Linked DNA regions of Schizosaccharomyces pombe. The gene in region 1 interacts genetically with each later gene. Each region holds a gene or a part of one and is shown in the gene's direction. Other genes may lie near its edges.

Region 1 (10,062 bases):
GGGTATAAAGTCTAAGTGCTCTTCTTGTGAGCGACCAGTTAAAGAAGTCGCTCCAGAATTAGATGAATTTTCGTCATTTTTTAGCGGTGTACCCAAATAGGATGACTGAGCAGAAATAGGAGACTTTGATGACTTTTCCAATGATTCAGAACGAAGAGGCTGATTAAAAATATCTAAAATATCTGCTAGAGCTGCTTTCGTATGTATGGTAGGAGAAGGTGGTTTTTGTGCTGGTTTTGGAGACAATGCAACAGGCATTACTGTATCAAAAACTTTTAATTCAGGAGATGTAGACTTTGCAACATAAGCATAATTTTTTGGTAAAGAACGTGTAGGAGTATCAGATTGCTCGGCCACAGGGTTCTTGTAAATAGGTGATACATTGGATGAAGATGAATCATGATGCACTGAAATTTCATTTTTTGGCACCACTTTCGGGAAAGAAGCAGCAGTGTTTGGTTGAATTGAAGAAAGGTAACGTTGCGCCCGACATTCTTCCATTGACCTTTCTTCTCCATTTTCATACAAAGCAAGGAAATTAAAAGCAGAATACTCAACTCGCTTACCAGAGCTCTTATCATAGAGCAGGGGAAGATTTGGAGTATTCGCTTCGGATTCTAGGGATTTTGCCTGAGGCAAATCAGAAGCATTTTGTGAGTCGCGGGAAGATGAAGCATCGGAAAAAACCTGAAAGGATTTAGGCTTTGAAGGAAGAGTAGAGGATGAAACCGGCTTTGAGCCCAAAACAATACGAGGAGGAGGAAATGGAGAAGAATAGGGTGCATCATGAATAGAAGGGTGAGCGTTATGCAAATCGTAGGCACGAGAGAACTCAGCAGCGTTCCTTAACAATCGAACCAAAGGCCTCGCTTCTCGAGAAACAGCTGCATGAAATACTTCAGAAGCCTCTTTCCAACGTTGCATTCTAATGAGCAAAGAACCATATTCTTCGTAGAACAAAGCGAGTTCAAGGCCTATGCCTTTCGATGCCAATTGGTAAAATTGCTTGGCCGCCTGTTGCAATTCATCAGGAGTTTCGTATGATTGTTTAATTTTCGCAAGCTGTATGAGAAGATGACGAACATCATTAAGCGCGAAGCGACATCTTTCTAAGTACTGAATAGCATCATCAAGCATTTTGTTGACCGTTTCCATGCCCAAAAATCTTGTTTCCAAGAGCCATTCGATGCAGCGATACCAAACATCCACGGGGTCATCCAATTCTTCGATAATGTCGAGTTCCTCTTGAAACAATGCTAATCGCTGAATTTCCTCGAGGCGAGTCTTGGACTCCCTGGGTTTAGTTTCAGGTATGTTTTGGTCAAGTACATTTTCTGTAAGCCGCCAATCGGACATAGTGATACGCACATTGAAACATGGACGACTTTTAATAGACCGTATTCTGCACTTGGTTCGACGACAAGTATTCTTTCAACTTGGTGGTGAGGTAAACGAAATCCAGCCTGGTGCAGTATAAGGTATAACGACAACAAACGTTGCTTTATATATGGATAACGACATATACATTTATTTCTTGAAAAAATAGCAAAGCTATATTGATTTTAGCGTATGCTGCTTTAAAGTTGCATTTCACAATGCTTGGAAATGTAACGATGACAGAATTAATACGATGCAAAACTCAAATAATAAACTGCGCACTAACTCACTACAATAAACAACTTTGAAAAAAAGATTCGTTTTTTCAACATTTACCATCTCATTAAGCTGAGCTGCCAAGGTATATACATACTTCATCGAATATGAGCGAAAAACAGGTTGTAGGGATCCTTGGAGGTGGTCAATTGGGCCGAATGATGGTAGAGGCAGCCCATCGCTTAAACATCAAATGCATCATCTTGGATGCAGCAAATTCTCCTGCCAAACAAATTGATGGAGGACGTGAGCACATTGATGCATCATTTACTGACCCCGATGCAATTGTTGAACTGTCTAAGAAGTGCACGTTATTAACAACTGAAATTGAGCATATTAACACTGATGCCTTGGCAGCCGTTACGAAATCTGTTGCTGTTGAACCCTCTCCTGCAACTCTGCGATGCATTCAAGACAAATATCTTCAAAAACAGCATTTACAGGTTTTTAAGATTGCACTTCCTGAATTTTGCGATGCACCTGACCAGGAAAGTGTTGAAAAAGCAGGCCAAGAGTTTGGTTATCCTTTTGTACTGAAAAGTAAAACATTGGCTTACGACGGTCGTGGAAATTACGTTGTTCATCAACCATCTGAGATTCCTACTGCCATCAAAGCACTTGGTGATCGTCCGCTTTATGTTGAAAAGTTCGTTCCTTTCTCCATGGAAATTGCAGTGATGGTAGTACGCAGTTTAGACGGAAAAGTTTATGCTTATCCTACAACTGAGACCATTCAAAAGGATAATGTTTGTCATTTAGTATATGCCCCTGCTCGTCTTCCCTTCTCAATTCAACAGCGTGCTCAAACCCTTGCCATGGATGCGGTGCGCACTTTTGAAGGCGCTGGTATATATGGTGTAGAGATGTTTGTTTTGCAAGATGGTGAGACCATTTTACTCAACGAAATTGCTCCTCGGCCTCACAATTCAGGTCACTACACCATTGAAGCTTGCCCAACTTCTCAGTTTGAAGCTCACTTACGGGCCATATGTGGTCTTCCTTTCAGCGAAATCAACACCCAACTCTCGACTTCCACAACTCATGCGTTGATGGTAAATATTTTAGGTACTGATGATCCTGATTATGTTTCAAAGATCGCTAAACGTTCTCTGTCCATTCCCGGTGCAACTTTGCATCTTTATGGTAAAGCTGAATCTAGAAAGGGTCGCAAGATGGGACACGTTACCATCATTTCTGATTCACCTCAAGAATGTGAACGTAGGTATCAGATGCTTCTTGACGTCAAAGATCCTGTCGAATCACCTGTTGTTGGTATTATCATGGGTTCGGATTCTGATTTAAGCAAGATGAAAGATGCTGCCGTCATTTTAGATGAATTCAAGGTGCCTTACGAACTTACTATTGTTTCAGCTCACCGCACACCAGATCGCATGGTTACTTATGCTCGTACCGCAGCTTCAAGAGGGTTGCGTGTGATTATTGCTGGTGCTGGTGGTGCCGCTCATTTGCCTGGTATGGTTGCTGCAATGACACCTCTTCCAGTAATCGGCGTTCCTGTAAAAGGAAGCACTCTTGACGGAGTTGACTCTCTTCACTCTATTGTTCAGATGCCTCGAGGTGTCCCTGTCGCCACTGTTGCTATCAATAATAGCCAAAATGCCGGTATTTTAGCCTGTCGTATACTTGCTACATTTCAACCCTCCCTTTTGGCTGCTATGGAGAGCTTTATGGACAATATGAAAGAGATTGTTTTAGAAAAGGCTGATAAATTAGAAAAAGTTGGTTGGAAAAATTATTCTGCATAGGCGACCATAGACATAACTGTTAAATGATTTTGCTTGCTTTTTGTTTTAAATAATATTTTATTTTGAAATTCTAGATTGTAAAATGTATTCTAAAAAGTGATTAAAAATTAAAAATAAAAACCCCCCGAATAATGTGCTGCGACGCAATTAAAAAAAATAAGAATCCTGAATAATGTGCTGTGAAGCAGTTGAAAGAAAATTAAAGAACCCAATATAATATGCTATAAAGCAATCAAAAAATAATAGTAAGAAACCCAAATAAAACCCCGTTGACCATGTTCCCAATTAAATTAACGCATATTAATGCAAAAAATGCAATATTAAGACTAGTTATTAAACCGATAATTAGTCTTCAATTATTAAAAGATGTAGTTGATTTGTATTATCTTTCAATTGCTAATTCTAAATATATTGGAGAATTCAATGAGTTTATGCATTGAAGTTTAAGATAACATTGGCGCTGATTGCAGCAAAAGTAATCACGCATATAGCTGTAGGACCAAAACGATCATCATATCGGACCGCATTATGTTTGGCTATGTTAACAGCTCTCCACAAGTACAAAAACGTGGAATAGAAGATAGCAAATAAAGCTACCAACGTGAAACTAGCAGCTCCTAAAATACCAGATCGCGTCTTAGCGAAACTAAATAAAGTTATACCGATGGAACCCATCAAAATAGAATAGCGTAGATAGTCCAGGTATGTACGCTCCAAGGCAAAATATGTCTTGGGCTCAACACGGACTGGGACATAAATTCGCTTACCAGGAGGCGACACATACTTTTGTTCATATATGACCGTAGGCTCAGTAGGTTCTTCGAACTTGGGTACAGTCTCCAAGAAAAATGAATCCTTAATGTCCTTTAATCTGCTGTTGAGAGCTGCAACGAATGAGTCACGTCCTTTCCTTTTGGAAATATCAAGCAAATTAGTGCGTTCATCGAGCTCTTGAAAACTGTCCGATGTTTGGAAGGTAGAATTGTCATTCCGGGTACTAGATGAGCCAATACGAGATTCTTCGTCAACATAATTGTCACCATCGGCATGAATTGGTGTATTCTCAGAATCGGTGAGTACATTCGCAGAGACAGATGAACTATGAGTACCGCTTTGACTGCGTCCCTGAATGAAAGTGTGAGTAGCAGGTTTACGAATATCAATGTCCATTTGTGGGAACCAATATGGAAGCAAAGTAACACGGTCGTAAAAAAGAGTAGATACACCGTGGATGAACTTGGAAAACTTAGGGACAGCCTCGACCAGGTGGCTATTAACAAGATTGTTAACCCATTCAGGAGGATCTTGACCAAATTGAGTTTGCAACTTGACCTCCAAAATGGCATAAGGGAAACGAACAATATCTTCATCAGGAAGTTGATCAAAAGGATAGTCAATTCCAATATCCATTCTTCTCCAGTTGTTACCGGCGCGGGACGGACCGTCTTCCCTAATCAATGACAAGTTCGTATCAAGAGAAATACGAACACGTGCATCACCTGGAAGTTGAAATGCAGTACGTTCATAAAAGCTGCGAACATAAGGTTTCATTCCACGGCTCAAAACAGTATACTGAACTTCCTTGGCAAGCCTTTCAAGACTTTCGATTTCTTTCAAAGACTTCTTGCCATCTTTACGCATCTTGGCAAATGCTTCTTCGACAGTGTAATCACCTCGGAGAAAAGCATTTACATATTTCTCTTTAAGGGGAAATCTAGCTTTCACACTTTTTTCACCAGTCCAGTCTTCTCTATGAGTCTTTCGTTCAACAAAGATATTGTTGTTATCCATATTACCATACCAACGAAGACGAATAGCTTCGGCGCCTTCACGCTTTTCCAAACGGCCTAAGTAAAAATCCAAATCATCGTTATCATAGTAGATACTAGTAATAGCAGCATCTTCACGAGCAAATTCTTTGTTAGGATTGAAAACAAGTACAGGAAGATGCTTTAAAATGTAAATCTTCAATTCGGTAACATTATTTGGGTGAACCCAATATTTAGTGGTTTGACGCACGAAGTTTTGTTGTGTACCACCGGCAGCACTATCACCTTTGATAGGGCTACCTCTAGTACGAACGAAATCGTAAAGCTTACTGAGCTTAACAACCAATAAATCATATTGCTCTTTGAAAAATGGTTTAGCATTTAAACGAGCAGCAAAAACGGGCTTAAGGATCCAACCTGTATGTTTGTCGTGCTTCTTGATGATTTTATAAAACGCAGTGTAATTAAGTTCGCTAAATTTGGCCAAATCGTGGACAGTAGCCATAATGTCGGTAAGTTCAGTTTCCAAGATTGCAAAATCATTTTCATTGGGAGGATTATCACTATCAAGACGACGAACAACTTCATCAGTTTGTTCTTCACAGAATCGGATACGTTCCATAACTTCGGCAGACTTGTTCTTTTGAAAAGAATAAACTTTATCCAGCTCCTTTTCTAAAAGTTCAACAAAGTCCGACTCGTCTTCCTCACTCCAACCACCTTGATCATTGCGGCGTTTAATTTCCTTCTTTAGTTTGTCATAGTTGACATATGAATACTTGTATTCATACATCAACGTTTCCTTCAAAAGCTGACCAAACTTCATGTTGCAATTTTCAATAAGTTAATCTAGTAAATAATAAAGAGGGATTCAAGGGAAAATAAACGTATAAATTTGGGAATAAAGAATGATTGAATTTTTAATATCAAAGACTGTTATTAGGTGATCCCTTGAAAAATTCGACGAAGAGTAAAAAAAGTGAAAAACAACTGCAAACGGGAAATAATATCTTCCTCTTTGGGAATTTTACTAGTATTTGACAAACTTAAGTGCCAAACAGTAATATCCTACGAATAAATCTTCAATATCACAAAATTTGTTCACAAAACAATCAAAGAGACAACAAGCACTTTTGTAGCTATAACTTAAGCACAAAAAAAATTAAAAAAAAGGTAACTCCAAAAAAAACTCTGTAGAGTCAAAAAAAAACTGTAAATATATCTGTAATTAAACGAGCTTGAACGTTGGTAGTTTGCAGGTGTGGTGGAGAGAAAAATGGTCAGGGTGGTAGTGGCGTAAAGATGAAATAACTCAAAAGTTGACAAGATCGGGAAAAGGCGATCCAAAATCAATTTCAAAGCTGAAGAAGTTGATTTTTTAGGTGTGAAAATCTGATGCAAATTAAAAAGCAAAATGTCCTCGAAACATGATATTTCTGATTTCAAATAATCTTCATTTTAAAGCAGTTAAGTATAATTCATTATGTTATTTTGCGTTGAGTTTGTTATGCCTCGATATATCCGTTTCACGATCCCAAACAGTCACGCAAAAAGTTGGTTTTCAGAGCAATAATCAACTCTCCGTGCGCCTTACACTTCTAACAGAAGAAGTATAAAACAAGAGGACAAAGTTGGTCAGTTTATCATAAATTTAAGGGTTCTATAGAAAAAAAGAACGTGTACACTTGAATTTTGCGATTGCCTTTTTTTTCGGTGGAAAAGGATAGTTAGGAATATTTCATTAAGGAATAGCATTCAAGCAACCAAATCAGCGCTGTAAAATTTTAATAATTTTATTTTCATTTTCATTTCATAATTCAAAATGGCTCAAAGAGTTACTTATCGTCGTCGTCTTGCATACAACACTCGTAGCAACAAAACCAGAATCATCAAGACTCCCGGTAATAACATTCGCTACCTTCATATTAAGAAGCTTGGTACTATACCTCGCTGCGGTGATACCGGTGTTCCCTTGCAAGGTATTCCTGCTTTGCGTCCTCGTGAGTTCGCTCGTCTCTCGCACAACCAGAAGAAGGTCCAACGTGCCTATGGTGGATGCCTTAGCGCCAATGCTGTCAAGGATCGAATTGTTCGTGCCTTCTTGATTGAAGAGCAGAAGATCGTAAAGCAAAAGTTGAAGCAGATGTCTCAAAAGTAAAGTTCATGAAAACAGAAATTAATTATATTGCGTCACTGAATTAAGCAATCTATATTAATTTTTGATCAGCTTCCTTCTCTTTTAAATTGGTATTTGGTATTCATTTTCTGTTTGTGCTTCTTTTTATTTTGTTGTTAGTTATAAGCTTCGTTTTCGACTTTTTTAAGACGTCAAAAATTAGATTACTTAAAAAAATGTAAACCAATTATAATAGCAACGTGCTACAAATAGAAACAGTTGAAATAAACACACTATGATGAATGTATCTACTTTGACCTGCTGTAGAATGTATCCCTTAACTTTTAAGTGTCGTCTTGAGATATTGATACAGTGTTCATCAATTGTATGTCACTATTAGTTGTGTCTTGTTGGATTATCGATTGCCAGGCATAGAAGGATACGCTATTAGTAAATCAAAAGAGTAAGATTATACATTTACGATTCATATAAGCAACTGCGAACACTTGAGCTACTTACTTTTCCTTTTTGACGTTTTCGAAACTCCTGCAGATAAAACTTTCGTAAAAGAAAACTACTGTTATTTGAAAGTGAAAAGAATTACTCGTATTTAGTACAGGTTTGTGCCAGGTAGACGTAACAGCTAAAATAAATGCTAAGTAATTTATGATGACTTTTATCTCAAACGAGCTGAAAGATTGAATATATTCTTCCGAGGTTTATTTGACGTTACCTTTTTACTTTGCTTGTTCAAACGTACAATATTTTCAAATCTCCTCGGGAGGCCTTATCTTTAATATAGTCCTTATAAAGTTGGCTATTTTCTTTTATGTATATATTACTTCTGAGCTTGCGCTAAGATGGATGATGCTTCATTTATGCAGCTTTTGTTCAAAATACATGTTATAACAATAAAGCTTCTTTTTGATCCTTAGATATACTTCAAAAAATTAGTCTAATAATTATAATACTACTAAATATCATGTATACATTTTTTGACTATTATAATTCATATTACTATGTTTCTCGTTTATACCAATCACTATTGTGACCAAGGGCCTATGTCTTTTTATTTTTACTTTTATTTATTTTTTTTTTTTAATTATGTCTCGTAGAGTATCGATTGCAGATATTTTTATTTATTGTAAACAAAACAAAGCCCGTCTATACATTAAATCGAAAGAAGGTTTACAAAGAAAATTAAAAGTAAAAGAATTACTAGAAAAATTCATTTATGTGTGCTTTTGCACCAAAAGATAGTAAATAAGAAAATGCAAAACAAATTTCGGTTTCATATTAAATATTGTAACATTGTTGCAATATTCTATTGTCTTAGCATACCTTTTATAAAATTCAATCATAGAATGCTGTTAAACGTACAATGCAAATGTAATTGATAACTTATATTTTTGAGTCCCCGATGGCTTTTCTTCGTTTATTTATCAGACAGTTGATTAATTACAGTTTTTTTTGTTTCAAAAAATAAAACAAAATAACAGGTATGGGAAAAAATATTTTTGTTTAGATTTTAAATGCACATCGTTCACCGTTTATTGAAAAAGCAAGTTTTAAAATTAAAACGTCAATACCTTTTTGTTTGTAATTAGAAAAAAAATATAAATCATATAATGAATGAAGTTTAGTAAGTTTCAACTTGTTCGCGAAATAAAACGACGCACCTCACATTTTCTATCAAGGCTGCACACTACAAAGCGATAAAAATAGCAGTATTCAATTCCTGCTAATTTTATATTATAATATCAATAAAATAAAAGAAAATTATGAAAAAAACTATCGAGTTATTTGTTTTTTTTTTGCATATAAAACAACATTAATCCAACTCAAATACCGTACTATGATACAATACGATAAAATGGATAAGGTATACTGAAGTGCCATTTTAAATGCTTACTTATACGTATTCATTTTACAAGTCTTTCTTTCCCGTATACAGCTTTTCAGTATGAATCGTCAAAGACCGTTCCAGCAGATGAATGATTTGATGAAGCGGGGACTTCCTAAAGGAAAATATGCTTTTACAGGAACTGGTTTGTTGTTAGCTCTTGGCCTTGCAGGATTTGCTGTGCAGACTTCTCTTTTTAACGTTGATGGTGGTCACCGAGCTATTAAGTATAGCAGGATTGGAGGAATTAAAAACCTTATATATCCTGAAGGAACCCACTTCTTGATTCCTTGGATCGAAACGGCCATTGATTACGATGTTCGTGCTAAACCACGAAATATATCTTCTCTAACCGGAACGAAAGGTAGGTTACAAGAATTAAAACGTTGAGCGTACATAACTAAAGGTGACTGTAAGAAACATTCATTTGGTTTTTATACCTACTGTGAATTAAGCTTTTAGTTGCAAAGTGATGAATTGTGTTTATGGATTCTACTCTTCTCGAATAGCTAAGCTTTGAGGGGTTTTTGTTGGTTGTATTACTAGAAATATGTTAACCATTTTTCTTTAGATTTACAAATGGTGAACATTAATTGTCGTGTTTTGTCTCGTCCCGATGTTCATGCTTTGCCAAAAATTTATCGTACTTTAGGTGGTGATTATGATGAACGTGTTTTGCCCTCTATTGTTAATGAAGTCTTAAAAAGCGTTGTAGCTCAATTTAATGCAAGCCAGTTGATCACCCAGCGTGAACGTGTATCTAGGTTGGTTCGCGAGAATTTAATGAAGAGAGCAGCCCGATTCAATATTTTGCTTGATGATGTCTCACTTACTCATGGTATGACTAACATTAGT
Region 2 (12,458 bases), on another chromosome or scaffold:
ACCGCCGCATTTGGAGGTTGAACGTTGATATAGTATTGTAACAAACTTATGCCGTGTGAACCAAGCAGGTATTTATTCCTCTGTAGATTCATGATCTTATTAATTTTGCTTTATGCTACTAATCATTGTGAAAAATATATTCCTCCCTTCTAACGACATGAAACTTGACAGTGTAAACTCAGAAGTGTTGACGCATTAAACACCTTTAACGAATTCCTTGCGCTTTCGTAAAACCCAAAACACTAATTGGATATGTGTAAACACAATATTCAAAATATTAACGAAAAAAATATAGAAATATCAAATTATTTGATTTCTTATAAATTAGTTGAGCCAAAGCTACTTATACCCATAATAGCAGCCAGTTCGGTATTCTCACCTACTAATCTAGGTGAGTTCTTTTCCTTGTTTACTTTTTTTTGCTTCCGCCGAAGCTTTTTAGCTTCTAATTCTTGGTGATACCGTTCAACTCTTTCCTTCAAGCTGTACTCTTCTGATCCTTTTTCTGGCTCTAATAATTGTCTGCGCCAATATTCCATTCGTTCTTTAACCTCTTCTAATGTAGCGCGCTTTTCGATGATGACAGTTCTAGTTTTTCGTAAATCTGTTAATAAGTTAGATTAGTAAACTTTTAAACAGAAAGGTATAACATACGCTGTGTACTATTTAGATGGTCAAGCCAACTTAAAGAATCTTTATATGTCTCGTTACATGCTTCACAATACCAACCAGCTCCACGGCCTCTTCGGCCTACCGAAGCTCCAGCGGGGAAGTATAGTAGTTTTATTTACGTCTTTTTCAAAGTCAATTCGTTGTGTACGTCCTCCGGTAATTACGACTTCATTTTTTTTTGAATTGCCATTCCTTCTTGGGGGATTATATCTGTCCATGACTCCTTGTTTTTATTTAATAAATTACTTTTCTCTATTCTTTCTTGTTTATCACTTATTATGAGATTGAAGTAAAAATTGATGCTGATGCACAGGAGAGAGTTGTATTATGTATGAGAGAATAGGCACTAAGTTTCGTAAAATATGATTTAAAAATACGTTGGAAAACGATGCTATAGATTTTCTCGTCAATTGGATGAGTTGAATAACTCTAAAGCAATAATAAGTTTATTAACTTTGGTATGAAGAGTTAAATAGGTCAAAAAATTATATCTAGGTAGTAATTTAATCGACTTTTTTTGAAGTAGCGAAAGAATCCTGCTGTTACCGGTAATAATTTCCGGTGTCTTCAATAACAACTTGGCCATACTTACAACAGGGTTTCCAGCAGTTATCTAAAAAGCAACTTCACTTTAAGCTTTAGCTGAGTTAAAAAATTTATCTGTATAGGATATGCTCCTAAATACATTTTTCAGTCTATAATTTTCAGAATTAAGTAACCTGTGGATTCTAATCCCATTCAAGAACATAGAAATCTGGTGAAAAAAACAAGGTTTATAAATGATTATCAACTAAATATTTTCATAATTTTTGGTTAACACAAATAAATTGAGAAACCCTGAGACCTTCAAAAATATTACTATGGCATACGTTGTCCAAATTATATAGCCTTAGCTAAATGTAAAAGTAGAGTAAACACTTAAACTCGATTTTATTGCTCATAATTTAATGAAAAATTATTGTGCTGATGCTGGTTAATGACTATGTTCTTTAGGCGTTGTCAACTTTATTTAAATTCAATTTCTTTTGATGAGGGTTAGTTCAGTGTTTGAAGCTTCTGGCGAAAAAGAGTTTAAAAGAGGTTGAAATTTTAATTAAGCCAGTTAATTTCAAATTCGATTTTCGTTTAAGTGTTCGGATCTTTATATAGATCATAGTTACAAGATTTATCATCTCGATATTCAAATGTTCACCGAAAATAATAATGCTTAATTCATATATTCATTTCGGATTTTCTCTACTCAGTTAGCAAATATGTTAGCAAAGCATTTATAGCCTTATAAGTTCATCCTTGAAACATAAGCATATGATTCTTGTTCGAGAAAACGGAAGCATCAGAGCATAGCGATGGAAAGGATCAGTAATAGACACGTAATGAGATAAAATAAAAATAATAATGCAAATAAGAAATATGTACAAAAACAAGAGGAACTGCTAATGAATGATTTAAAACACGATTGTTTTCTATGCATTAAATACCGAGCCCCCCATTCAATTCAAGAAATTTCAATAAGGAATCGCCGGCCATCAGGTCTAATACGGCTGTTTGCGCCTCTAATAAAAGAATGTGAATTAACTGGAGCCATTCATTTAGGGGTTCAACTTCCATGGCTAAGGCCATATGGTTGGTTATTTTTTCATAAAGATCACTGGGAAGATTGACGGCGTTAGGTGCATTAGATGAAAGAAAGCAATTGTAAATACCGCATGCATGAGCAAAACTTTCGCGAATTGCTTCATGATCATTAGTTTCATTAGCATGAGAAAAATAGTCATTAAATTCGCAAACTTCAGAATAGAATCGTTGATTTTCGTCACAAAAATTTTTTTTCAGAAATTCAAAGAAATAGGTTTGTAGATTCGGCTTTCTAAGAATGGTTTCCAGGATTTCCTTATTGGTGGATCCTTTTTCGACTTCATTTATTTTATTAATTAATTTATTATTGGAGACATTTTTAGTCCATCCTAGAGTCGCAATTCCCTTTCCAGTCAAAAAATAGGAAACACCCTTTGCATAGCTAAACTTTAAAGGAGTCTCGGAATTATTTTCGTAAGCAATGTATGAATGAATTAACAAATCGCTAGCAACAGTTTCCATTTCCGACCAGTCTAGGAGCATAGTGTTACACATAAGCCATTCAGCTATGTCAATGCCAAACATTTGGTATTTGGTGACTTTGCTTAAGGAGTCTTTTGGAGAGGGACTTGAAACGGAGTAAACGGGTACCAGAAGAGGGTTTTTAGATTTCCCAATTTCATGGACGCTTCCAAGCATACGTACCAGCAACATTTCACAAAAAGAAGAATCCTTAAGTATTTGATCGGTACTTGAAAAGCGCGAAATGGAAACAATGACGGGCGCAGAATGATTCCATTTGGAAGCGTAAAGCTCGGCTTGAGAATTATGTCCGTTATGTTGTAGAAACTCACTAACAACAGAGTAACCTTTCCTTGTAAGTTGAAGAAGACATTTTTCGTTTGAAAATTTTCTAGCCGATGGGTTATTTACAATTTGCAGCAAACGAGCATTTAAAAATGTATTACATAAACATTTAGCAGCAGTCTTAGGTATCGTAAATTTGGTAGTAGACTTTAAGACTTTACTGCCGCATCTACTTTTAATGCGGTTTACCTGACTCAGCTGAAGATTTTCCAATGTTGAAAGCAATTGCAATAAGGTACAAGAGTTTTCCACATATGAGAATCTGTACCTGTTCCGAGAAAAATTCGTAGAAATTACCATCGTCGAGAAGAGCTCCAAAAAGTCCTTGCTATAGGGTCTACCATTAGAGGTAATTTTCATTAATCGAGAACATTGTTGACGTTTATCGCCGGAATCTATTGAATTTCCGTTGCGATAAGACGTAACAGCTTCATAACTGGGCGGTGGTGAAGAAGGGTTATGAAGGGCGGGCATCCAAAGCTGATTCTTACTTTTACGAATTTGTAGCCTTTTATCATAAATAATAAAGTGATGAACAAAAGAATTGTGATCTTGCTAAGCGAAAAAGCGACAGAGATCGGGCAGCCAAGCACAATGGAGTGTTAAATATTGTTTCTTTTATTTTTTTAAAAGATAAAAGAGAAGTACAGAACTCAAATAAGATAAAAGAAATTTAAATATATAGTAATAGTCCCACTTTCTTGATTACCGTCAATTTTTATAATCAATTACGGGTAATTCGATACTAAATCAGGTCTCCAGCTGTTTTCAATAGGTCTGATCCCTATTAAATTTAAAATCGAATGAAGGATTGGAGCAATTTTGTAAACGTCGATATAGGCACACTGATGAAAATTCGGGAAATGCCTTAGTATTTATACTTCGAAGTTTCCCATCTAACCATTGCTATACGCTTTCTTTTAAACAAAGAAATCATTAAATGGCGAACAATGGGAACTTTAACGGAACAAAGAACATTGTGCAATTGATTTGTTTACCCCAACAAATTAACAGTGAGAAAGCAGAACAAAGAAAACAGGTAGCAATTTCCACCTTTCGTCAACTTATTCCGAAAGGGGTTTTAATGAATCGGTAAATTTCATGTGATAACACCGATTGAATAATAATAAAAAAAGAATCAAAATAAGACATTTAAACAAGGATATGCAGTCGCTTGCCTATTTTTTGAAAGGAAATATTATATAAACTAGTAGAAGGAGATATGCTATGGCTGGATAATTCACAGATGGTTGGTAAATAAAGCTTACCCAGCACTCCTGGAGACTGGGGAAAAACAAAAAGTAAAAGAAGTAAGCAAAAAAGGATTATAAACAGTTACAGATATTTTGATACTTCTTAGTTGTTCACTGCATCTCTCCTGTTAGTTCCATTGGGTACTGAAATGACCCCAAAATATGCAATGAAAATGAAATGGCTTTTGTTATGAAACTTTACATCGCCAACTTGGAAGACTTTAAGATATAAATTAAAAAATATTGGTGTTTGTAATTATTTACAAGCACCGGCTTTCCCTTTTCCATGACTATATTCTTTTCTACTTTGCGCCTTGCAACGCTTCTTACACCTGCCCTATAAAAGTTTTTTTTTATTAATGAAATATTTTCTCTCTAAGTGACTGTAACACACTGTGGAATAACATAGCAGTTAAGAGTATGTCGTTAAAAGTGCTTGAATATGTTACCATAATATTAGACCGACTCAAATTATTTGCCCTCTAACTTCCTTTGAAAGAAAAGTTCCCTAGGAATCCTTAATAGTAAAACCGTTTTCTTTTTATTTTTACATGTTTATTCAGAGAACTCTCAATGTGTTTTCGCATTGTTTGCTTTCGTATTTCCTCTGTGCTGAAAATGCGAACACTGCCTACTATACTGTATAGTCCTAGAAATCAATACTTAATACATTCTTTAAATTTTGGAGATGGATCAAGTACCATGGTATAGATGATGTTTACATAATTTGGATAAAAATTACAACTTACTTTACTACTTATGATTCCTTCAAATAAAGCTTGTTTAAAACAACGTTCCTCAATTCAATTTTTAGCTATATAAGTGTAATTATAAATACTTCTTGGTATTCTTAACGAGTATTTTAGGATATTTATAACTATTTACAATAAATTTATTATACTATGTACATTACACTAAAAAATATCATTGCAGTACTATCGTATCTTAAAAACGAATTACGACCTGTATGGTTGACATGTAATCTAGTTAAAGGATTTTTGGATAGCGCTGTATAATTTGGTTGAAAATGCAAAGACTAATTAAAAAAATGTGGCAGACTACGCTATCCTCGTTACGTTTATCAATGCTGCCAAGACTTGCTATCAGTATAATGTCGCATAGTTGTATATCAACGTTGACTTTGCCAACTTTGTACGAATGCCGCTGCAATCGCTAGTCAAAGCATTATGGAACGTCCTTCATGAAGAAGAATCGGAAGGCTATCCCGATTTGACTGAGTTAATTGCGGAAGTTGAGTCGTATCAGCAGCGTTATCCCAAACAAAACCCCACTAACTCACAAAAAATAAGACACATCTTGGACGAGATCTACGAAAAGACGCCGTTCAATAATACAAGGCGACGGATACTATGGCTAGCTGTGTTGAAAACGGTTATACCGTTGTTGATTTTGGATCGCCAAGCAGTTGGTGAATGGTGGGACCAGATCTTTTTTCCTTTCTTGAATTCTCCTACCCAATTGAAACCGGTATTTAGTGACTTGAAAAGTATTTTATTTTACATTTTAATTTTTCACGACGAGGATGAATGGGGTGGAGACTTGAGACGGGAGTGCGCTGAGGAAACTATCACTCGTTTGGTTGACCTTTACGTTTCTAAAGCTATCGAAAATCTAGGTGACGTGGAATCTCAAGAGCAAAGGAATCAAACTATTGAATGCTTGGTTAATGTTCTCGTCCATTATGGGATACAGAGACCAAAGGAACTTTCTTCTTGTTTTTGTCATCATTTTTTAAATCCTCCAACCCGAATCCCTATTTTATCAGTTATGGTTGAAGTAATACGGCGGCAAGGTCCTCGTTTATATGAAATACCACAGACTGGCTTCTATGACCTTGTTTTAAAATGTGCGGAATTTGATACTTCACCAATCTTACTGTCGTATGCATTATCTTTCATCCTTATGATACTGTCTCACATTTGTAACTCCTTAGACGATTCCTTATATAGATTGTTCTGTATCTATCTTCGATTTTCAATGATTGACCCGACCTCTGGCTTCCCATCGTCTACTGCGTCTGGTAATTGGGAGGTGTTTCACGATTTTATGTCAACGTATGCCTCAACTACCACCTCTCAAACAGATAGCTCTTACAATGATGTTCATGATATTGTTGGTTCTTCTCAACCAGATTATCTCGAAAGTCTTGACTACTCTCAACTTTTCTCAATTTTGTACGCTCTGTACCCTATAAACTTTTTAGAGTTTCTTCGGGATCCTAAGTTGTATGCTTCTAAACATAATTTCCAAATACGTTATTCCTTTAATCAAGAACTCCTCTCCACAAAGTCGGATGGTCTTCTCGGTAGACATTTGGCACATTCTAATTTTCTTAAATATACAGCAGAAACAGAACTTACCGATAAATCCCGTTGGACAAGACTTGATTCTATTGCTGTAGTGGCCCTATGTAATAGTCTTAACGCTGTTGGAATAGCCGAAAGTGTTATGGATCCTTTTGGTGGTAAGCTTCCCACCACTTATGAAGAGACAAGTTCAGCTACTGGATTATTGGCCTATCCAAATGAAAGCCATGATATTGCTTCTGAGCCTTTTTCCATATCTTGGCCTCAAAATCCATCAATATCGGGTTCTGTTCATTCCGCGACTACATTTGACAAAGCCCAATTATCAAATACTGAAGATTCTTATGATAATATTTCGCATGGTACATCATATAGTGAAGGTGTTTCCTCAATTCACATGGTTAAAGGTGAACGCGGCTCAAATAATTTGGAACTGACTAGTGAAAGTTTGAGCAGCACGAACGATACAATTCGACGCTTACAAAGGGATCTGCTATTTCTTCAGAATGAGCTCCGTTTTGAAAAATTTGTTCGTCAGCAGCACTTGCAAAATATTGGAAAGCTTCATCGTGAGCACATACTAGATATGGCTGTGGAATCAGAAAGGCAAAAATTGCTTTTAACCAACAAAAGATATAAAGCTCAGATAGAGTTACTGAATTCTGAAATTGACAAACATCGCTCAGAATCACAGGCAGCTCTAAATCGTAGGGTTAAGTGGGAAAATGATTTTAACAACAAAATAAAAGCGTTACGAGAAGAAAAGAAAGCTTGGAAAAGTGAAGAATCAGAACTCAAATCATCAATTGAATCATTAATCTCGCAATTGGAATCAATACGAAATTCTCAAATTGACATTGCGTTTTCAAAAAATCAACTGGAGTTGAAGCTTCAACTCTATGAAACTAAGTTGAAAGAATATGAACAGCATTTGAGCTGCGTTAATATCTCCAAAAAGCAAGTCTCTTCGAGCTCTGATACTTCTTTTGGAAATACGAAGATGGACAGTAGTATGATTCTCTCTAACAGTGAAGCTGTTAGTGATGAGCAAGAAAGAGAGTTGATCGAGTCAGAAAAACATCGAATGAAACTGGAATCAGAAAACTTGCATCTTCAAGCTAATATTGAGCTACTGAAAAAGGACCTGGAAGCCATTAATGTTGTTTACGAGGCTAAGATTTTTGATTTGGAAAAACGACTTTCATCTGAAGCGAACGCACCTGAGTTGCATAATCCTGTCAACTTAAATTACGACGCTCAGTTGTCTAAAATATCCGAAATAAAAGAAAATTACGATGAGCTATTAACGCGGTACCGTGAGTTGGAGGGCAAGTTTTTAGAATCACAAGCTGAGGTCGAAGAATTAAAAAACTTTCAAAAACCGCTTGTTGATACTGGAAGCTCAATACACAGTAGCCCTGGTTTGCAACAAAGCAAGTTCATAATTCGTAATGACTCTTTGCATCCTAAAGTTGGCCCGCCACGTAGACAGTCTACTGATACAAGTCGTTCTACGTTTCGCCAATACTAAGTAGGTATATTTTTGAAGGTCCTTGAAATGAACTGGTCAATTATGATAAAACATACTTGCTCATTCCATATAAAATAATTAGATTACGATTTTTCACGACCATCATAATTCTGTGTATGAATCTCCTTATATAAAGATTTTTCATTATTTCCTTGTAATTACAAATTTAGTTAGATAAGAAAAAAAAGCTGACATCTAGTTAAAGCTTGAAACGTGGATCATTGAATTTTTCTTCTTTTCTCTTCTCGAGCAGATCGAGATGTTCTATCCCGTGGACGATCTCTTTGCTGTCGTGAATCCCGATCCCTTCGGTCGTCTTGCCTGGCCCTACGACGAGAATTTTCTCTTTCATCTTCCTCTCGTAGGTTGCTCGGGCTTTGACTATCCGAAGATCGGGGACGTTTATTTGAAGCATAATGAGTGCTACGACGACCATCTGCATCTCTGGAATCATTTCCCCTATTAGATCCATTACTTCTTCCAGCCCGACTAATAGCATTATTCTGCCGAGAATTACTCTCGCCAGAAATATCTTGCCTTTTGTTTTTATCTTTCCCTTCTGTAACCTCATCACGTTTATTATCGTTGCTTGTCCTATGATTAGCTTCAGACGAGCGCTCTCTTGAAACATTAGTGCTATTGTTATTAGACACTCGAGGGTTGCGATTTACGTTTCCATTTTGGCGCCATCTGTCAGATTTCTGTGATTCATGTTCACGCCTAGCATTTAGGTTTTGTGCTTGCTGAGGCTCGCGTCGAGTATGACGAGACACGCTCCTTAAATTATCGTTGTTTTCATTTGTAAAACTTCTTGATTGAGGTGTTCGGTCTCTAGACTGATCCTCTCGCAATTTACTGTCTGATCTTTGTATATCCTCATTCGTAGGGGTGCGTGTTCGTAAAGCACGTCTGTTTCCTTCAGGAGTTGTTTTTCTACGTCTTTCTTCTTGTTTTCTTTCATTAGCTGAGCTTCTAGCTTCAACCCTTTTCTCTACTGCCTTGTTCTCAACAAGATTTTTATTGTCAGTTTCAGAAGCAACTGCGTCGGAAGGCGTACTATCAGGTACAAACTCTGGTGCACTAGGATTCAAAGCTACTTTCTGTTTATCAATCTTTGCCTGTTCTTCCGATATGGAAGCAGTTTTGGAATCAACTGCTGATGTAGCTGCCACTGAAAGTTGTTGCGGTCTCTGAAGCTTTTCTGAATTACTCGGCCTTACAGTACCAGAAAATGAATTAAAAGAAACCCATTCTGGTTGCTTTTTTGAGAGCTTTGCAAAATACCCCAAAGCCAAAACCTTTAAATCTTCTCGTTTTTCTTCGTCCTTTAATCGTTCAGCGGCTCGTTTCAAAGCACTGCCACTTTCAATTATCAATGGGAAACATGGCAAAATTTTTTCCAAGATTATGACACTATTGTAGATATGCATATATTCAGTAGATAGTAAGCATGACTCAAAATAAGATGTTAGATATTTGTGCCATTTACTAAATAGCAAAACAAATTTGTTATAAGGAAGGACAGCGGAAAGATCGGGATCATTTTGTTCGTCAGACCAATATAACCTGAACCCAGGCAAAGCACCATTTGCCAAACATTCGCGTTCGTAAAGAATTTTGTCCCTGTACCAGCTAGTAATATCATAGAGTACTTCGTATAAAAATCTTCCAAAATTATCAGCCTCTCGTTGTGTCATTGAAAAAATAAATGAAGGCAATTGTGAATTAAACAAAATTTCTAAAAATGACATAGTTGAAAAGTTTGGTGTTCCAAGACTGTGCAAAAGCTTTACAAACTTTGCGCAGTACAAAGCATCATGTGGGCTCATTTTTAAACGGGGAGCAATGCAGAGTGTCCACAAATACCGAGCACAGTTGAATCTAGCATGCTCAAGTCTTGTACCATTAGGAAAAACACCATTTGGAATAAACCATTTCACGCAGTCACCTTGCAAAACTTTTCTTACACTCTCAAGTGAATTAATGTGTTCTTTAAGTTCATTCTGTAAGCTGTTAGACAATTGCATTATTTTTTGTCGGTCGTGTCGATGTCGTGAATAAAATGTGTTAGCGGCGTCAGTTTGCCTAATTTGATCAAAAGCCCGAGAACGCTCAAACTCATAACGTTCCAAGGGAACAAAAACATCATACAGCGATAGCTTCCAAAATGTTAAATAAAAATTAGGTGAAAAATAATCCCAAATTTGTTTAGGTAATAACTCAGTTATGACAGAATTGTCAATACTCCAAACGGGGTTGCTAGCAGTGTTTGGAGATGAAGTATTTTCATAATCAATATCCATTGCATCCTCAGTATTTGAACCAGTCAAACTGTGATCTAAATTTTTGTAACGCGATAGATAAAATGCAACCTGAGGTTGAATATGAAAATCTTGAATTAATTGCTCAAATGAAGGAATCAATTTATAATAGCTCTTTGGAGAGCAAACCATATTAAGAAATTCCATTAAAAGATAAAGAACATCAGAGCATTCGTCTTGAAGAGAAGAAATAAGTTTTAAATGAGAGTTTTCATCAGTAACATCATATATACAGGTCGAATATTTTTGAGAGAGTAGTACCAATAGCTGGGTTGCCAATCCGTTCTTTTGCAGCGTATTAAAAAGTCTCATGGAACTTTTCCGAACAACGTCCGGATTTTCATATATAAGAGATAAACTAAGTTGTCGCAAAACTGGTCCACCAGCAGCCCCTTGAATCTGATTGTCAGAGAGATTTGTCCATGGTTGTAGCCCAGTCATCTGCGAAAGCAATTCTTTCAATATAACAAGGTCAAACATTTGGTTCACTTTAAACTGTTTAATCACATATTCGACGATAGAGGTGCAATCGAGGCTCGAGTATCTTCTGAATACACGGCCACAAAAAGATGCTAAACCTTGGAGCCAATGAGCTATACTAGTTCCATCAGATTTCAATCGCTTTTTGAACTCATTGGAAAAGGAAGATAAAATAATAAATGTCAATGCATCAAAGTCTAATGCTGTAATAAAACGAGCACTATCAACTACAACTTCAACTAAATTATCATAAGTTTCAATCTGATTTAAAGCGATCGAAAACACAGTACATGGATTCGAATGACAGACTTTAGCCAATAATCTACCAAATTGCTTCACATTTGTTTTCGTTAACCTTCTTAAGATGCCTTTTGTTTCCTTTTCAGTGATAGAATTTTGTAGCTTTAGCTCCGGAAACTTTTTCATGGAGGTACTTGACCATTCACCATACAACGCATATCGAGTGGATGAATCAAACTTTGACAGCAACTCAAATAATTCATAGGAAAGTCCAGTATTGACATCAATAAGTGTGATGAGAGGAAGAAGAAGCGATCTAATAATATCCAGCCATAATGTCCGACTCTCAGAGCTATTATCGACACATTTTTGACCAATGCGGCAAAGCTTTGTCACTATAACAGGATCATGACACAGAGCAAGCCCTGACAAACGTAACCATGGGATAGCTATGTTGTAGAACTCTGTCAAGTTACGTAAAATTGGTATATCTTCATCATAATTTTCAAAGTAATAAAACACCTCACTTTCAGTTTTGTTGAATCGATCAGCAAAAGGATCCAACGAAAACACTAAATTTTTTTCCTTTGGAGGCCTCAGGGTAATTTCTCGAAGCCTAGAGTCTTCAGGAATGAACTTTGGCTGTTTAAGTCGTTCCCTTACATCATTTGGTAACAATTTCAATGGACTGTAATTTGCATAAATTGAGGAAATAGAAATATGCAAAAGTTTGTGATACAAGTTAGATAATTCGGGGTACGCCCTCAACAAAAATGGATAACGACCCAAGATTAATAGAGATGAAGATAAATCCCCGATGGACAATAAAGATTTTAGTAGACCCAGCTTCTGTGAAGGTTTGGCTTTTTTTATTTCAGGAACAGCTTCAGCTTTCTGGCCATCCATGGTTTCTCCGTCTTCAATTTCATCGTCGGGCAATGGGGCCGCCATTGTTAAAGCATTTCCTTTAGCCTTAAAAGTCTGTTCATCTAATTTATCCTTATATTTACCCAACTCTTTACCAAGCTCTTCATCTGATGGAGAAAGATGAGCCCATATGTTATCAATGCTAATAAAATTATATTTAATCAACAAAGCAACCATCATAAAGTAAGATTCCAAATTCTCGTCATCTTCTTTATACATATATTGCAAATTATGACCCAAAACTTGAGACATTATGCTCTTTGTA
Region 3 (10,871 bases), 220 kb from region 1:
GACGAAGGGCGTCCTTCTTTTTGTAAGCCTCGGGGAAGATGATCTGCTTGGCCACTGTCTGCCAGTTGGAAGATTGAGGGGTGATATCCTCATCTAAAGTCTTCACAGCGTTGGGAGCAAACGAAGTTTCCTTCGCGGTACTTGGCAACTCCTTCTCCGAGGGCTCGCGATCCTTCAAAGCCGAGGCGTCTAAATTAATGAACGAGAGAGATTGCTTAAGTGAGTCAACAGCATCTTTCAAATTCGTGTCAGTTAAATTATTTTGCTTAGCCAAAACAGCCAAAGCCTCGTCAACACCTAAACCAGGCTTGACGAGTTGAATAAATGAAACCAACAAAGGCAAGTTCGAGGCATCGATGGCAAACTTTTTGGGATCAATAAGCACTAATTTCACTCCTTTCTCCAAAGCATCAGCGATAAATTCGTATGGAAGTTTCTTAGTTGCTTCATCTGGTGCGATGGAGGACTGTAATAAACAAATAGAATGTTCAGCAGCCTTGGCGAGAACACGATAATGTAAAGGAAGTCGATCAGTAGTTAAAATAGTAATATCAGCATCAACATCTTTAACAACATCTGTTAAAACAGCGTTGGCCGTAGAAACTTGGGCAACGGTAAAACGGACGCCAGCCAAGGTCAAGTTGTCAAACAAAGGACGGAAGGCAACAGATCTCGATTTATCGGTTCTATAGGCAGAAACTAACGAAAGCACCAAGGAATCACCGACATCAGATTCCCAAACGTTGATGCTCTTATCAACATGAACAGCTTTGGGAGTAGCAGCTTTCAATTGCAGGGTCTCGTGAAGAGCATCAAAGAGAGAGCTCAAGGTGACGGACTCTACTAAGGAGTAGCGATGCTCGGAAATAGCAAGCGCTGAAGGTTTAGTGCTCAACAGTGTAGCAAGTAGGAAGGAATAGTAGATGGAAGAAGTTCCGACAGCGGTAGAGCGAACCTGGGAAAGAACAACAAGAGATTTGCAAGTAGTGGGAAGAACATTGAAAATGTTTTCAGCAACAAAAGGGAAGATACGGATAGAAAGAACGCCCACATCAGGATTGGCAGCCAAAAGGGCGCGAGCAGCGACGGTTTCAGACTTCCCAAAAGTTACAATAACCTTAGAAGCGGTTTGAGATCCGTAATACTCGGCTGGAGCATACGAAGTGTTAAAGTAATCGTTGACATGCTTCAAAGCCTTGGAAGCGTTGGAGACAGGATCAGCTTCGGATTGGTAAGAGTTGAAGCACTCAACCACGGCGTTGGAATCGAGAAGAGGAAGGCTGGGATCAGTTGTGGTGACAATGGCATCCGGCTCATACACATGAATGACAGGAGCAGCCTTGGCAGCCAATGTACTGGCCAAAGCGAGGTGAGCAGCCTCGACATTAGATTGCGAAGCGAAAACGGTGAAGTTGTTGGCGTAAGAAAAGTCTAAAACACTCACGTTATCAGCGCAATAGGTTTGTTCGAGGTAGGCCAAAGCTGCGACATGAACAACAAGAGGCTTACTAGCTCCATAGAAAGGAATAATATTAGAAAGCAAGGGGTTCAAAAGCGATAAACAGCTGGAAGGTGTCATCATGGAGTAGACACCAGGAGAAGAGATTGCTGCAGTGTAAGAGCCCAACAAGAAAGCGGAAGCGCCAGAGCGAGCCTCCAAATTGAAAAGTTCAACATTGTTGGAAAATCCGTTTCTGCGACCAGAGTTGTTCCACTGAGTCAAATAACGGTTCAAAGGAACGTGTTCCGCGTAAGAAAAGATACGGTTGGAAAGAGAATAAACAATATCTTCAATGATTTTGTGCGAAACATCGAATTTCGCAACTTGATCGGAAGAATCAGTAGCAACCATTTTGAACCAACAAATCAATGATTAAACGGAAGAAAATAATTAAAGAAATTTAAAATTTTGATTAACAAAACGTTTCAAAAAATTAAATAATATTTAATGAAAAGGAATGTTGAACCCCAAAAAAGAAACCAAAAAATCCAAATGTATGGAGAAAAGTGTCAAACCAAAATTTTTCGTTTTGACGAGCTTTCCAAAAAAAAAAAAAAAAAAGAAACAAGTATGCTTTTATTCGCTAAAAAGTTAGAAATCTGTTTCTTAATTAAGATACAGCTTTAGATTCAAAATTTCGCCAAAAAAATTAACCGTTAAACGTTTTAAAATTTTGGTGTATTTTTTTCTAGTTAAACTGTAGATATAAATGTTCAGTTGCAAATGCCTAAAATTCCTACCAAACGTGGAATTTACACCTAAGCAAAGTACTGGGATATTTAGGTATACTTGGTAAAGAGTAAAATTGAGAATTTAACAAATAAATAAACCAGTTCGGAGAGCTACTGCTTGCGTGATTGCGCTTGTGTATCACACCAATTGTTGCTACTTTAAAGCGACATAATCGCTTAATTTAAAGGTATAAACAACGTATTCTTTCAATAGCTCGTTATTCTTATTAAGGATAATGGAGGTGCTTTTTCTTACTGTAATTAAAGAATTGTTTGATGTCAGCAATACTACACTACGCTATAATACACTACGTTGCGTATCACTATATGTCACATGTTCTAATTATATATAGTACCATGTATGATACGATATTGAGATTGATCTTAATGATAATCTATCAAGATCTATATTATCTGAATAATATAAATAGAGCTACTGCTGAACCTCGTTCCTCAGTTCAGTTATAAGCTATATTAGTGATAGGTAACATTATAACTCAGTTAATACAATACCTATACTCAGTTGCTACTTATACAACCTGTGTATTGTAATATAATAGATCACAAGGAAAACTCACCGCAGTTCTACGTATCCTTAAATCAGATACCAAACTGCGTAGCTTACATTTGAAGGGATTTAACAACATAATGGAATGTAGTTGACAGATGTGACGTTGTATATCTTTGAACAGGTATACAGAGATTTACGGATACCCAGACGATAAATAACGACCGTTGGGGTTAGCAGTTTTATTCTCATCAAATTAAGAAAATGTGTGTGCAAGGTAGTTATTGTTTTTATAAGGTTTTCTAAATTTCAATACTTTTAGTAGTCTCATCTTGTAGCAATCTGATCAGAAAGACATTATCATCTTTCGCATTCTGAAAAACATGAAATAGAATGTCAAGTGAATTTGAGTAAAGAACCGCACGTATTGATGTGTTCGATTTCAGCAACGTACTTGATTTTAGAAGCTCCATTATATGATTTTAGTTTAGCTAGTTAGTTTTATCTCCAGAAAATTGACAGGTATTCAATATTTACTGATTTATTCATAGTGCGCTAAATGCATCTAAGTACTGTGCTGTAATTATGTTCATTATACCCAGTATATCAGCATCTAGCAGCAAATATACATTTATGTAAATACATTTACATTTCAAATAGTAGCATCTCCAAATCGTCACAAATTGTAGAATTTACATATCTTTTTTTAAAATACTGAACGTTCCTTAATTTGATGAAATCACTTCGTCTACATTTCTATTATGTGACAATATTTGTAGGTAGCAAATATTCAAATTGATTAAAAGATTTTTTGAAATCGAAAAAAATTGTGAGTTTAATCATACCTTTCTGAAAGAAATATTTCAATTTTTTTTAAAAAAATTTGAAGGGTCTGACAAGCCTACCTCATTTTACATTTACTTTCATTTAATTATTTTTTTAAACCTGACATTAAAACAAAGTAACTCGATATAACCCTGAAAAATAATAATCAATTAAAATAAATGAGCAATCAATAAAAAAGTTATTATGTCTTTAGGTTGCAAACTTTTAAGCTGTTTTGTAATCTGAAAATCATATATGTTATAATATAAAGTAGTATATTAACAAAATCCAGTCTTTATAGCATCTGGTACCTTTTGCAAACAAAAGTTATTTAACAAGTTTAGAGTGCAGAAAATCGCAAAACTGCTTAGAGAATTGACGCAATCATAAAAACATAGAATGAAATCGCCTCGAGGAAAAATCACAATTTGATCAGTTTGCACACTCATTAAATCAAAATTATCTTTTCTACGAAATTGTGCTCAAAAACATTGAACATAGTGATTTAATACCTTCCTATTTTGTATGTTATTGTTGGTTAGTGTCAATAAGTTGATGTATTTGTTTATCCCATAATATGTAAACAAATGTCCATAGCTAGAGCTTATAAATAATTTATGCCAGCACTCAAACTTTTGACAAACAACAAACATTGGAAATATTTAAAAGTAAAGTATATTATTTTAAAACACTTAGCTGTTCGTCTTGTCTTCTATTAATATCCGTTGTGCAATTCTTCTGGATCAGAAAGCTAAAGCAGAGACGAGGAAAAAGGAATTTGGGAAAAAGCTGTCATTTACAATTTATCAACCTAAAGGAAGAGAACGTATAAGAGGAATTTATTTAAAACGTTCCTCGACTAGCTTATTTACTCGAATCCTACTTGTCTTCTTTTCCCTTAATCACAAATACCTTCAATCATGATCATTATTGACGGTAAGAATTATGCTTGGTAAGACTTTTTGTATGGTTATAAGATAAAATTTTTAACACTTACTCTAGTGTTGTATGCCTTCGAGGTCATCGAGGCTCATCCTGCCAGCATCAAGAAAGGGCACTGATAGAAGTTCGAACTAGAGGAAGGCCGTTACTATGGTATGTCACATTGATCAGAAAAAAAATATTAACTTGAAATTCAGCAAAAAATGCAGAGCCATAAAACAACAACTTAAGAGTAATTTAAAATGCGTTTGTCATTTGCAGCCTTTTCTACCCTTCGCCAATGAGTATCAGGAGTTATTAAATTTCACTCAGAAAAACCCAATATTGGCTAGCCTTTTTTTGTTTTCAACCGACAAAGATATTATGAATTCTTCTTTAAATCCTGCAAGTCAAGCCTACACCTTCGATTTAGGAAGAACACTACCCATCAGTGAAGATATATTAGGATATAGGAAACCTCTTTCACTAACAGATGCTTCTAATCGCATTGATGCAAGTCAATTGAATGAAAAAGAAAACGATTCTTTTACCATAAACCAAGAGGCCGATATTTTCAATTTCGCAAAGTACTTACATTCCAAAGACGATATATCCGGAATCCCTTGAATTCACAACTTTCGTTATTATTCCAAATAGCGACAAATGAAGGTTATTGTCATATCATATGTATAAGTACTCTCACATAAAGTATTCAATCATAAAAAGATGAAGTAATTTGAATGTTTTGGTCGTCTAAAAAGGTGCATATAACATTAGAGAAATCTATGTATTCAAATTTACTGGGGATCAAACACCATTTCAAGGATTTCCCATGGGAAGTGAAATTTAGAATAGTTGTGTATTGAATAGCGTCAATATTACTCTGATAAAGTTTTCACGGGTTTTTCTTTTCTTTTTCCACATTTAATTTAGCCTGGCAGTTGATAACTTTCGACGATGATTCAGGCTCGGAATGAGGAATAACAGAAGGGTTTTCTTTTAATTTAATCACAGAATCCTTTGAAATGAGGTCCTCCTGAGGAAGTAAATTGGACTTCCGGACAGAAGGGCTAGCCATCAATAAAGCTGAATCCTCTTCATCAACATTTTTCGTTTGACGTGTTGAAACTTCAGGGGTAACAAGAGGTATGTTTTTAATATTCCATGGTGACAGAAACGTTGGTGTCGCAAAAATTCCAGAATGTCTGGAGGAGGATACTGAACCTGGACTGGCGCTTAGTTCACTTCGATTTTCTAAGGCATTATATGAAGCCGGATCTCGGGGCCTCTCTCTTCCTTGATAATCTTTAAGATACAATGCAATTTGTTCGTCAGGTAATTGTAAAACTGATTCTTGGGTAGTACTTTCGAGCGCGCATAATCTAATCAAATACTCCAGTAAAGTTAAATTAGGTTGATCTTTTATAGTCGATGGAAAGGAAGACTTTTTCTTTGCAACGGATTCTTGTTTTTTGATGCCTAAAAGCTGTAGCCTAGCAGCTTCAGAATCACTAAGAGATTCTGCAAGTTCATCAGATTCGTCTAATGATTCATTAGGTATTGATACCAAAGGAAGTGCTTCTAAAGCTATCCAGTTCGAAGGTGCTGTATTTGAAGAATACTCTGTTTCATCATCTGCATACTTGAGTAATAATACGGGAGTTTGTACATCATCTAACCGAAGAAGTTTACCGGACAAACTAAAAAAAAGCGTGCGCACATCATTTAGTGAAATGGTTTTGGTGACAGGAGTCTCATCTTCATCATGGTAACGATCATCATCAAAAGATTGTTTTAAAGATAAAGCATAGGCTAGAACCGTATCCTTGGACTTCAACCGTTGAGGAGGCATGCGAAACATTTTGGCGATACAAACAGGCATCTCTTCTTTCCACATGACTAAATCATTGCTTATATAACCAGACTTGGCGTGGTTATCTATAATTTTATAAGTTCGCAGGAAAAATGTGGGGCCAACTTGTAAAGGTTCATTTCCAGTAAATGCAACATTCGCCCTATATATGTATGAATTAGCTCGTAGAAGTTGGGAAAATGAAGTAGATTTTGGAAGAGAAGATGAAATAGAAGCACCAGAAGTAGTGATGGACAGATTTAAGAGAGGAACTGCATCATTAATTTTGAGAAGTAAAGTTTTCATTTCACGAAGAATAGACGTATCAACGTTCTTCTGCAAAGTTTCTTTTTCTGAGGAAGGCGGAAATTCCGAATGAGCGGCGCTTAAAACATGCTTGGTGAATTGTTCGATGTCAGCGTGCAAAGAATCCACTAATTGCTTAGTACTCTTAAAATTTTCATTTTCACCGACTGACATTATTTCAATTAGTTCGATAGCAGGCGTCACAACTCGAATCATTTCAAGCAGTTGAGTTTTCACAGACTCCAATTCACTTTGATCATCTGCAGAGGCACGTTTAATATAGCTGCTAACTTGCTGAACAGCTAATTTTCCTGCAAATGATATACTATGTTTCAACGCGAAGTTCGTAGCAAATGTCGCAGCATGAGAAGCTACATTAAGTAATTCATCCATTTCTAAAAAGGCGGCTTTAAAAAACACAAGAGAAAACAAGGCTAAACAAATAAATAATGGTCATTCAAATTGTATTTATTCCTTTTAACAACAAATTAATAACGAAATAAAAAGAAGCGTAGTAAATTGAGAACCAAATAGAACTTGCGCTAAGTCATAGTGATATGTGGAGGATAGAAGTTTAATATCCAAACACGCCTATAGAATTTTGTATAAGGAAATCCTAAAGTGAATAATTATATAATGGATTTACATATTGAATCTTTTGGAACTTGCTTGGTATATATTTTGAAGCTGTAACGCTGATTCATCGTTTCTTCCATGACAAAATCCTTGCAGTGATTATTGGTGACAATGGAGACTAATTAACCAATAGATTTAAAAACTTTTGATTAATTGTTCAACCCAATAGCTAATAAATGTTGTGTTTGGTATTAAGCCCACCGAAGTTTCTGTTTTTTATCTCCCAAGGCAAGTCAATATATTTTACCTGTTTAAGACAATAATAGCGTATTACTGAAGAAAAAAGCGAGAAAATGACCAATTTACAATTCAGTTGCTTCCGATTTTACAACCAAATGTAAAATTAAACTCAAATATAATATTTTATGAACTTAACTGAATTACTATAGCACAAGCTTATATAAAGGATGCTAATAATATCATCGTAAGTACTCGTAATATTATATTATAAAAGAATACACAGTGTATACTGTGGTGTAAATTCTCTTCAACATCACCGTCCCTTTACCACATATTTTAATAAAGGCAAAAAATGGCTAGTAATCAGCCAAATAACGGTGAACAGGATGAGCAACTCGCCAAGCAGACTTCTAAACTGTCGATGTCTGCAAAGGCACCTACGTTTACGCCTAAAGCTGCTCCCTTCATTCCTTCTTTCCAACGTACGTTTTTTAATTAGAACACCATCCATATGTCTTGAGATGATTGCTTGTTTTAAGTAAAAAAATTATTAACTTCTTGCTAGGCCCCGGATTTGTACCTGTGAACAATATTGCTGGTGGTTATCCTTATGCCCAATATACAGGCCAAGGACAAAACAGCAACTCGCCACATCCTACGAAGAGTTATCAGCAATACTACCAAAAGCCAACAGGAAACACTGTTGATGAAGATAAAAGCCGTGTCCCTGATTTTTCTAAAAAGAAGAGTTTTGTGCCTCCTAAACCAGCAATTCCCAAAGGAAAGGTTTTGTCCCTGGGTGGAAACACCTCTGCTCCTAAGTCTACAAAGCCCATTAGCATCAGCCTTGGTGGAACAAAAGCTCCTACAACTACCAAACCAGCAGCACCTGCTGCACAAAGCAAAACAGAGACCCCTGCACCCAAGGTTACCTCTGAGTCAACAAAGAAGGAGACCGCTGCTCCTCCTCCCCAGGAAACTCCTACAAAATCTGCTGATGCTGAACTAGCAAAAACACCCTCTGCTCCAGCAGCGGCTCTTAAGAAAGCTGCTGAGGCAGCTGAACCCGCCACTGTCACTGAGGATGCCACCGATTTACAAAATGAGGTTGATCAAGAGCTTTTGAAGGATATGTATGGAAAGGAACATGTCAATATTGTTTTTATAGGTCATGTTGATGCAGGAAAGTCTACCCTGGGTGGTAATATTCTTTTCTTGACTGGTATGGTTGACAAGCGTACTATGGAGAAAATAGAGAGAGAAGCTAAAGAAGCTGGTAAAGAAAGTTGGTATCTTTCTTGGGCTTTGGACAGCACTTCTGAAGAACGTGAAAAAGGTAAAACCGTTGAAGTTGGTCGTGCTTACTTTGAAACCGAACACCGTCGCTTTAGCTTGTTGGATGCTCCGGGTCATAAAGGTTACGTTACAAACATGATTAATGGTGCTTCTCAAGCTGATATTGGTGTTTTAGTCATTTCAGCGCGTCGTGGTGAGTTTGAAGCTGGTTTTGAGCGCGGTGGTCAAACTCGTGAACATGCCGTATTGGCTCGTACACAAGGCATCAATCATCTAGTTGTCGTTATTAATAAAATGGACGAACCTAGCGTTCAGTGGTCGGAGGAGCGTTATAAGGAATGTGTCGATAAGCTCAGCATGTTTTTGCGTCGTGTCGCTGGATACAACTCAAAGACTGATGTTAAATATATGCCCGTTTCTGCTTACACTGGTCAAAACGTTAAGGATCGTGTTGACAGTTCGGTTTGCCCGTGGTATCAAGGTCCATCTTTGCTAGAATACTTGGATTCTATGACTCATTTGGAACGCAAAGTGAATGCTCCATTCATCATGCCTATTGCCTCCAAGTATAAAGATTTGGGTACCATCTTAGAAGGAAAGATTGAGGCTGGTTCGATTAAGAAAAATTCAAACGTATTGGTTATGCCAATTAATCAAACCCTTGAAGTTACAGCCATATATGATGAAGCTGATGAAGAAATCTCTTCTTCTATTTGCGGTGACCAAGTTCGTCTCCGTGTCCGTGGTGACGATTCGGATGTCCAAACTGGTTATGTTTTAACATCCACTAAAAACCCAGTTCATGCTACTACTCGTTTCATTGCACAAATTGCGATCCTTGAGTTGCCTTCAATTTTGACAACTGGTTATTCTTGTGTAATGCACATTCATACCGCTGTCGAGGAAGTTTCATTTGCCAAGTTGCTCCATAAACTTGACAAAACAAACCGCAAAAGCAAGAAACCCCCCATGTTTGCTACCAAGGGTATGAAAATTATTGCAGAGTTGGAAACACAAACTCCGGTTTGTATGGAAAGGTTTGAGGACTATCAGTATATGGGCCGTTTCACTTTGCGTGATCAGGGTACTACGGTTGCAGTTGGCAAAGTCGTAAAAATTTTGGATTAGGGTAATTTCGGCAATTTTCTCGTGCTCGGGATTTGTTTCTATGCAAATGTATGACACTTTATGGTTCTACTGTATATAATCCAACTAGGACAAAATGGGATTTGCTTATTTTTTAGTTGGTGGACTAGCGGTATGGTAGAAGATGTATATCTAATCGTTATATACGCGTATTACTATGCCTAATTTCAATGCGATGGGTTGTATATATGAAGAATAATGGACATTCACTCCTTTACACCCTATTCACTTTGAAATTATTTACTTTTTTCGTACAGAATTCAATGCGAGGAGTAGGTCAGCAAATAGTAAATAAGCAGTTGCACTTTGCAGCTATGGAAGGGTGAAATGTGATAATAAGTTGTTGTTTTTTTACAATCCATATTAATGATTAAAACTACACTTGAAATCTTCATAATATTGTAAAATAATAGTTTATTTAAATCACTAGATATACTGAAATTTATTGTGCTACTACACCAAATCTTACCGAATAAATACCGAGGTGGATCATATTTACAGTAATCCGATCATTCTACCGTTTACATTCCACCAGCATTTCTGTACCGTATCCGAATTTCACGTACTCTTTTGACGTTGCTTGGTTTTAAGAGTAAGCATTGAAGTGTTGAAAGGTATAGTTTTTGCTATTCCGTTTAGGAATACGGGACATTGACGTTTTGAGATGACACTGCTGGAGCTCCAAAAAGAATGTATGGTTATTTGTGCTGGTGTATTACTAACAAATAAGTGTTTCTTAGCAAAATTAATTCAGTAGAATGTGCTACGAAGGTAAGAGATGGAACCCGTGAAACTTATAACGTGCACTGAAATGTTTACTGGGAATTTTGATTTGGATATTGTTTAAATGGAATTGAATTTGTGAATATGCAGCATATTATTTCCTCCGACATATTTTTTTTAAACTATCAAAATTGGCCTATTTCTAATTTGGAGCCGTTCAGTTTCACATCTTTGGCTTTTGGTTTG

The links.
Region 2: mutations in ade6 (region 1) and tsc1 impair growth when combined (synthetic growth defect), as found in Schizosaccharomyces pombe (one study listed by BioGRID).
Region 3: of ade6 (region 1) and sup35, a mutation in one rescues a mutant of the other (synthetic rescue), as found in Schizosaccharomyces pombe (one study listed by BioGRID).

The regions. Positions count from the first base shown.
Region 1 is NC_003421.2:1,314,577-1,324,638, forward strand, and holds ade6 (phosphoribosylaminoimidazole carboxylase Ade6), read left to right. Parts: upstream 1-1,704; 5' UTR 1,705-1,760; coding exon 1,761-3,419; 3' UTR 3,420-3,459; downstream 3,460-10,062. Other genes in the region: mitotic spindle checkpoint kinase Bub1, read right to left, coding at 1-1,356; transporter chaperone complex subunit vtc4, read right to left, coding at 3,849-6,014; rpl3402 (60S ribosomal protein L34), read left to right, coding at 7,011-7,346; prohibitin Phb2, read left to right, coding at 9,268-9,571, 9,779-10,045.
Region 2 is NC_003424.3:671,306-683,763, reverse strand, and holds tsc1 (Rheb GAP, hamartin Tsc1), read left to right. Parts: upstream 1-5,504; 5' UTR 5,505-5,525; coding exon 5,526-8,225; 3' UTR 8,226-8,443; downstream 8,444-12,458. Other genes in the region: G-protein-signaling regulator Rgs1, read right to left, coding at 2,143-3,588; THO complex subunit Tho2, read right to left, coding at 8,444-12,458. UniProt on the Schizosaccharomyces pombe protein: Together with tsc2, required for uptake of various amino acids from the environment and for proper conjugation. Involved in induction of gene expression of permeases and genes required for meiosis upon nitrogen starvation.
Region 3 is NC_003421.2:1,527,641-1,538,511, forward strand, and holds sup35 (eRF3-like class 2 translation release factor sup35), read left to right. Parts: upstream 1-7,758; 5' UTR 7,759-7,812; coding exon 7,813-7,942; exon of another isoform or gene 7,943-7,976; intron 7,977-8,025; coding exon 8,026-9,884; 3' UTR 9,885-10,371; downstream 10,372-10,871. Other genes in the region: met10 (sulfite reductase NADPH flavoprotein subunit), read right to left, coding at 1-1,852; Cu metalloregulatory transcription factor Cuf2, read left to right, coding at 4,486-4,517, 4,568-4,660, 4,705-5,113; SPOM_SPCC584.03C (GTPase regulator), read right to left, coding at 5,382-7,037; SNARE-binding protein Sec1, read left to right, coding at 10,567-10,594, 10,633-10,673. UniProt on the Schizosaccharomyces pombe protein: GTPase component of the eRF1-eRF3-GTP ternary complex, a ternary complex that mediates translation termination in response to the termination codons.